2 linked regions of the Macaca fascicularis genome follow. Each later gene encodes a partner of the first gene's protein in a complex. Links are inferred from orthologs where the notes say so. Each region holds a gene or a part of one and is shown in the gene's direction. Other genes may lie near its edges.

Evidence for each region.
Region 2: GTF2F1 (region 1) and POLR2G share a complex: the UniProt entries of both Homo sapiens proteins name them as parts of the TBP-based Pol II pre-initiation complex. The link is inferred for Macaca fascicularis from reciprocal best matches to the Homo sapiens genes GTF2F1 and POLR2G.

Annotation. Positions count from the first base shown.
Region 1 is NC_088393.1:7,158,687-7,161,406, reverse strand, and holds the end of GTF2F1 (general transcription factor IIF subunit 1), read left to right. Parts: coding exon 1-10; intron 11-91; coding exon 92-153; intron 154-241; coding exon 242-361; intron 362-522; coding exon 523-596; intron 597-677; coding exon 678-816; intron 817-1,022; coding exon 1,023-1,140; intron 1,141-1,227; coding exon 1,228-1,432; 3' UTR 1,433-2,126; downstream 2,127-2,720. UniProt on the Homo sapiens protein: TFIIF is a general transcription initiation factor that binds to RNA polymerase II and helps to recruit it to the initiation complex in collaboration with TFIIB. It promotes transcription elongation.
Region 2 is NC_088388.1:11,291,795-11,296,277, reverse strand, and holds the start of POLR2G (DNA-directed RNA polymerase II subunit RPB7), read left to right. Parts: upstream 1-1,643; 5' UTR 1,644-1,728; coding exon 1,729-1,997; intron 1,998-3,286; coding exon 3,287-3,446; intron 3,447-4,483. UniProt on the Homo sapiens protein: Core component of RNA polymerase II (Pol II), a DNA-dependent RNA polymerase which synthesizes mRNA precursors and many functional non-coding RNAs using the four ribonucleoside triphosphates as substrates.

The DNA of each region.
Region 1 (2,720 bases):
ATGGCTCCAGGTGAGGCCGACGCGAGGCGGCTGCGAGACCCCGTGCGGCCTTGCGGGCGCGCACTCACCCTCTGCCGCCCCTGTCTCACAGCAGCTCCCAGGACGAGCCTGAGAGCAAGGCCAAGCCGCCCCAGCAGGAGGAGGGGCCCAAGGGTAGGCGGCGGCTGGGCGGGCCCCGGGGAGATGCGGGGGGAGATGCGGGCAGTGCGTCTCTGCTCTTGCTCATACCCTGTCCCCCCAGGTGTTGATGAGCAGAGTGACAGTAGCGAGGAGAGTGAGGAGGAGAAGCCACCCGAGGAGGACAAGGAGGAGGAGGAGGAGAAGAAGGCGCCCACCCCGCAGGAGAAGAAGCGCAGGAAAGGTGCGGCCGGTGTGGCCCATGTTGGAGGCTCGGGTCAGGGCCTGGTGCTCTGCTGCCTCCTCCCCTCTCCCCTGCAGGCCTCCCTCATCTGCAGTGGAGGTACCGGTGGATGCCGGGTCCCAGGGTTGCTCTGGCCCTGACCCCTTTCCTGTGCCCCGCAGACAGCAGCGAGGAGTCGGACAGCTCAGAGGAGAGCGACATTGACAGCGAGGCCTCCTCGGCCCTCTTCATGGCGGTAAGGCCCAGCCCGGTGACAGGGGAGGCCTGGGCGTCTGTTTCCAGACTCACACCCCTCACCCCACCCTGACCTCCGCAGAAGAAGAAGACGCCACCCAAGAGAGAGCGGAAGCCGTCGGGAGGGAGCTCGAGGGGCAACAGCCGCCCAGGCACGCCCAGCGCAGAGGGCGGCAGCACCTCCTCCACCCTGCGGGCGGCTGCCAGCAAGCTCGAGCAAGGTGAGCGCCTGTGGCCTCCCCACTCCCACAGCCACGGCCTCCCGACCTCTGTTGGGGCTTAAGACAGAGAGGAGATGGAGATGGGGGTGGAGGCCTGTCTGTCCCCAATCCCCCTGAACCCTCATCCTGGCACTGCCCAGCCTGGGGTCCTGCTCAGGGATTCGGCCTCCTGCCCCCAAGACTCAGCCCTGACCCCACTCCCACAGGGAAGCGGGTGAGCGAGATGCCTGCAGCCAAGCGGTTGCGGCTGGACGCGGGGCCCCAGAGCCTGTCCGGGAAGTCGACCCCCCAGCCGCCATCGGGCAAGTCAACACCCAGTAGCGGGTAAGCTGATGAGGACGGCAGGGGGCAGGGCAAGCGCTACCGGGGACAAGCTCACTGATGCCACCTTCCCCGCCCTCCCATCCTCAGCGACGTGCAGGTGACTGAGGATGCCGTGCGCCGCTACCTGACACGGAAGCCCATGACCACTAAGGACCTGCTGAAAAAGTTCCAGACCAAGAAGACAGGGCTGAGCAGCGAGCAGACGGTGAACGTGCTGGCCCAGATCCTCAAGCGCCTCAACCCCGAGCGCAAGATGGTCAACGACAAAATGCACTTCTCCCTCAAGGAGTGAGGCGCCGTCCGGCACACGGCCCTGCCCCCGAACTCAGCCTCTCACTGCCCCTTCGCCATCCTAGAGTGAGGCGCTGTCCGGCACACAGCCCTGCCCCCAGAACTCAGGCTCTCACTGCCCCTTCACTATCCTGCTCCCTGACTCCCAGGGCCCCATAGTTAGCAATTCTGGAAAGGTTAAGCCATCTCCTCCTCTGGCTCCTCCTGGAATCTTCAGATGCCTGTTAGACCTTCTTACTGTCCTCCTTCTCCTGGCTCAGCCTCCCTCACACTGACCAAGGGCCCGTGCTCCCCACTTCCACAGTTCTCCCTTCCACTCCCCTAGTTCTCTCTATAGCCATGACTTGTCCACCGCACAGCCCAGGAAGTCTTCAGTTTGGGCTGGGTGTGATGATACGCGCCTGCAGTCCCCGCTACCTGGGATTCTTAGCCCGGTTCAAGGCTGCAGTGAACTTTGATGGTGCCGCTGCACTCCAGCCCGGGTGACAGAATGAGATCCTGGCACACACACACACGAAAAAGTAGCCAGACATAGTGGCAGGCACCTGTGATCCCAGCTACTCTGTAGGCTGAAGCACGAGAATCACTTGAACCTGGGAGGTGGAGGTTGCTGTGAGCCGAGACCACGCCACTGCACTCCAACCTGGATAACAGAGTGAGACTCTGTCTCAGTAAATAAAAAAATAAATTGCTGAGATTTGTTTCCTTTTTAGATCTGCTATTCTGCTAGGGATAAATGTCTTGTTCCTTATGTTTTGGTCCCAACTTTCATGGTTTTATTTTTATTTTTTAGTTTTTGAGACAGGGTCTTGCTCTGTTGCCCAGGCTGGACTGCAGTGTCCACTGTCTCAGCTCCCTGCACCCTCCACCTCCCGGGCTTAAGCCATCCTCCCCGCTTAGCCTTTCAAGTAGTGCACACCACCACGCCCAGCTAAGTTTTTAATTTTTTGTAGAGGTGAGGTCTCACTGTATTGCCCTGGCGAGCCTTGAACTCATGGCTCAGCCAGGCATGTACGATTATGCCTGGCTAATGTGTTTTTGTTTTGTTTTGTTTGAGACAGAGTTTCACTCTTGTTGCTCAGGCTGGAGTACATGGTGCAATCTCGGCTTACCACAACCTCCAGTTCCCTGGCTCATGCAATTCTGCCTCAGCCTCCCGAGTAGCTGGGATTACAGGCACCCGCCACCACGCCCGGCTAATTTTTGTATTTTTAGTAGAGATGGTGTTTCACCATGTTGGCCAGGCTGGTCTCGAACTCCTGACCGCAGGTGATCTGCCTGCCTTGGCC
Region 2 (4,483 bases), on another chromosome or scaffold:
GGGATTACAGGCTTGAGCCACCGCGCCCGGCCCCAATTTTTTGTATTTTTAGTAGAGATGGGGTTTCACTATGTTGGCCAGGCTGGTCTTGAACTTCTGACCTTGTGATTCACATGTAACTTTTTTTTTTTTTGAGAGGGAATCTTGCTCTGTCTCCCAGACTGGAGTGCAGTGGCACGATCTCGGCTCACTGCAACCTCTGCCTCCCGGGTTCAAGCAATTCTCCTGCCCCAGTCTCCCAAGTAGCCGGGATTACAGTCGTGAGCCATGGTGCCGGGGGTATGTAACATTTTTTTAACAGAGGATGAAATAGTCATGGATTTCCTGCACTCCAGCCTGGGTGACACAGCGAGACTCCCTCTCAAAAAAAAGAAAGTGAATTAATCTATAATCTGAGAACAGAAGTTGTAAACTATATGTGACTCACAGTCATATCTCTCTCGAGGCTTAAAATATTTTTTGGGATTGCAATAGCTTTTAAATTTTTTCTTTCTCTCTCTCTCTTTCTTTCGTTCTTTCTTAGTGTTGCTCTGTTGCCAGGCTGGAGTGCAGTGGCGCGATCTCAGCTCACCGCAGCCTCCGCCCCCCGGGTTCAAGCGATTTTCCTGCCTCAGCCTCCTGAGTAGCTGGGACTACAGGCACATGCCACCACGCCCGGCTAATTTTTTGTATTTTTAGTAGAGTCGAGGTTTCGCCGTGTTAGCAAGGATGGTCTCAATCTCCTGACCCCATGATCTGCCCGCCTCCGCCTTCCAAAGTGCTGGGATTACAGGCGTAAACCACTGCGCTCAGCCTAAATTTCATTATTTTCTGTAGTTTCCTGGCCTTTCGACTAAGGCTCATGTAAATTTTTTGTTATTTCTACACCAATTTCTGTAGATTATTATGAGAATTAAGGGAGATAATTATATAAAGGGCTTAACACAGTGTCTGGCATTTAGGAAGAAAGCAGTAAGTGGTAGCTATTATTTATTATTATTTTTTGTGATGGAGTTTCGCTTTTGTTGCCCAGGCTGGAGTGCAGTGGCCTCCCAGGTTCAAGCAATTCAGAGAGTTGCTGGCCGGGCACAGTGGCTCACGCCTGTAATTCCAGCACTTTTGGAGGCCGAGGTGGGTGGATCACCTAAGGTTGGGAGTTTGAGACTAGCCTGACCAACATGGAGAAACCCCATCTCTACTAAAAACACAAAATTGGCCGGGCGCTGTGACTCACGCCTGTAATTCCAGCACTTTGGGAGGCTGAGGAGGGCGGATCACAAGGTCAGGATATCAAGACCAGCCTGGCTAACCCGGTGAAACCCCGTCACTACTAAAAATACAAAAAATTAGCCGGGCGCGGTGGTGGGCGCCTGTAGTCCCAACTACTGGGGAGGCTGAGGCAGGAGAATGGCCCGAACCCGGGAGGCGGAGCTTGCAGTGAGCCGAGATCGCGCCACTGCACTCCAGCCTGGGAGACGGAGCCAGATCCGTCTCAAAACAAAAAAAAGAGAGTTGTGGTTTGATGGCCGGTGGGGGGGCGGGGCGGTGGTGAGGGGCGGGGCTTAGTGGTTCACGCCCACGGCTACAAGGCCCAATCAGACCCGTGGAGCAGGTGGAGTTCCGCCCTCGCTGAGGAGGTGGAGTTCCGCTCTCAACGACGCAGCAGGCGCGGAACTGGGGTTGCGGCGGCTAAGTGTGTTTCCGGTAGATTCCCAGGGGCGGTCGGAGGTGTGGACTGTTCCTGCCTTCATGCTCTGGGAAGATGTTCTACCATGTGAGCAGGGCCCAGGGTGGCGGCAAGGGCTGGGTGGAAAGGAGGAGCAAGGCCAGGCGCCGGCGCGAGGCTCCCCTTGTCGTCTGATAAGCTCCCAGCGCGTGGCCTGGTCGCCATCCCTCTTTTCTCCGCAGATCTCCCTAGAGCACGAAATCCTGCTGCACCCGCGCTACTTCGGCCCCAACTTGCTCAACACGGTGAAGCAGAAGCTCTTCACCGAAGTGGAGGGGACCTGCACAGGGAAGTGAGTGCCGAGCTCACCGTGCCGCCAGATCGTTCGATGCGCACACGGGTCGCTATACCTGCAAACCCTCCGCAACTCCTATTTAGTCCTGCCACCCACTCTAGGGACCCCGCTCACCCTCTCAGGCAGCCAGTTGCTTCCTGCTTTGGGTTCCCAGGGCGCCCTCTGCAATGCTGGACAATAAGACTTCCTTCCCTCAGCTGAGATTGGTCATTCATTCATTTACTCCTCAGACATTTTAAAAACACTTGGTGTGTGCCAGGACCCGTGTTGGGCTCAGAACAAGGTAGAATGGGAACAAGATAGAATGAGGCCAGCTCTTGTGGAGCTCACAGTGTAGTCATTGTTCCTGTGTCTCCTCTCACTCTGTCATTCTGCTGGTTTTCTCTTATCCCCTGTGTCCAGGGACCACACACCGTGGGCCTCTATATATCTTCTGAATGGATGACCAGAAAAAGTGGATCGAAAGTTTGGGGGAGGAAGGAAGTAGACTGGGACTTGACCATCTCTGGGCTTTGCACTGAGGGCCTTCTGTGATATTAATGAGCTGGGACCCAGCCCAGGGCAGTGGAGTACTTGGGCCTCCAGCATCAGAAAAACCTGCAGGAACATGCAGATTCCTGAGCCTCCTTATTCCCTACAGAATCAAGACTCTGTGAGGCAGACCTGAGAATCTGCATTTTAAGAAGATGATTCTCAGGCATCCCGAAGATTGAGATCTGTTTCCTCAAGGACTCCAGCCTTCTTGTACATTTACTGTGAAATTACCAGAACAGCATTTGGTCTTATACATACTGATCTGTGTTCTTTTTTTTTTTTTTTTTTTTTTGAGACGGAGTCTCGCTCTGTGGCCCAGGCTGGAGTGCAGTGGCCTGATCTCAGCTCACCGCAAGCTCCGCCTCCCGGGTTCAGGCCATTCTCCTGCCTCAGCTTCCCGAGTAGCTGGGACTACAGGCGCCTGCCACCTCGCCTGGCTAGTTTTTTGTATTTTTTAGTAGAGACGGGGTTTCACCGGGTTAGCCAGGATGGTCTCGATCTCCTGACGTCGTGATCCGCCCGTCTCGGCCTCCCAAAGTGCTGGGATTACAGGCTTGAGCCACCGCGCCCAGCCCATACTGATCTGTGTTCTGTCTTCTCTTGGTCATTAAGCTCTCTGGGAGCAGAGGTGCTATCTACTTGTCCTTTTGCTCTCCCCGACACTACTCCCAAGAGCTCAGTGACTTTTATTGCAGATGTCTCTAGAGGCTCTTGGACACACAATGTCTTTCTGTTTCTCATCCTCCTTGCAGGTATGGCTTTGTAATTGCTGTCACCACCATTGACAATATTGGTGCTGGTGTGATCCAGCCAGGCCGAGGCTTTGTCCTTTATCCAGTTAAGTACAAGGCCATTGTTTTCCGGCCCTTTAAAGGGGAGGTCGTGGATGCTGTTGTAACTCAGGTCAACAAGGTGAGACCATACGTAGGGGAGGCATTGGGGTAGTCTCTCAGTAGATCTGGGTTGGGTCCTGGCTCCACTTCATAACTGTGCCTTCAGCTAAGTCACTTTACTTCTTTTTTTTTTTTTGAGACGGAGTGTTGCTCTGTCGCCCAGGCTGGAGTGCAGTGGTGCCATCTTGGCTCACTGAAACCTCTGCCTTCTGGGTTCCAGTGAGTCTCTTGCCTCGGCCTCCCAAGTAGTTGGGACTAAAGGCAGGTGCCACCATTGCCGGCTAAGTTTTTGTATTTTTTTAGTAGAGATAGGGTTTTGCCATGTTGCCCAGGCTGATCTCGAACTCCTGAGCTCAATCTGCCTTCCTCGGCCTCCCAAAGCGCTAGGATTACAGGTGTGAGCTACCACGCCTAGCCATCACTTTACTTCTTGTGCTGCACTTTCAAATTGTATGGTAATCTTCCCTGCCCAACTCAGAGGGCAAGAGTCAACATTAATAGTCATAACAATAAAAGCCTGTGTTGATTGAGTAGTGACTGTGGGCCAGGTGAAGTGCAGAGACTCACAATGACTAAAAGGTGGGTGCTTTCCTTTTTTTTTTTTTTTTAAGATGGAGTTTAGCTCTGTCGCCAGACTGGAGTGCAGTGGCACAATCTTGGCTCACTACAACCTCCGCCTCTGGGTTCAAGTGATTCTCCTGCCTCAGCCTCCCAGGTAGCTGGGACTATAGGCATGCGCCACCACGCTCAGCTAATTTTTGTATTTTTAGTAGAGATGAGGTTTCTCCATGTTGGTCAGGCTGGTCTCAAACTCCTGACCTCAGGTGATCTGCCTGCCTCAGCCACCGAAAGTGCTGGGATTGTAGGCGTGAGCCACTGCCCCCGGCCAGTGGGTGCTTTTTACAGAAGCTGAAGCTTAGAAGAAGTTAAGTGTATTGGCCAAGATCATGTGGCCAACAGGTGTTCAAATCTTGGACTAACAGGCCTAAGCTCTTTAATACTTTAAAATGAAAGGTTAGGCTGGGCATGGTGGCTCACATCTGTAATCCCAGCACT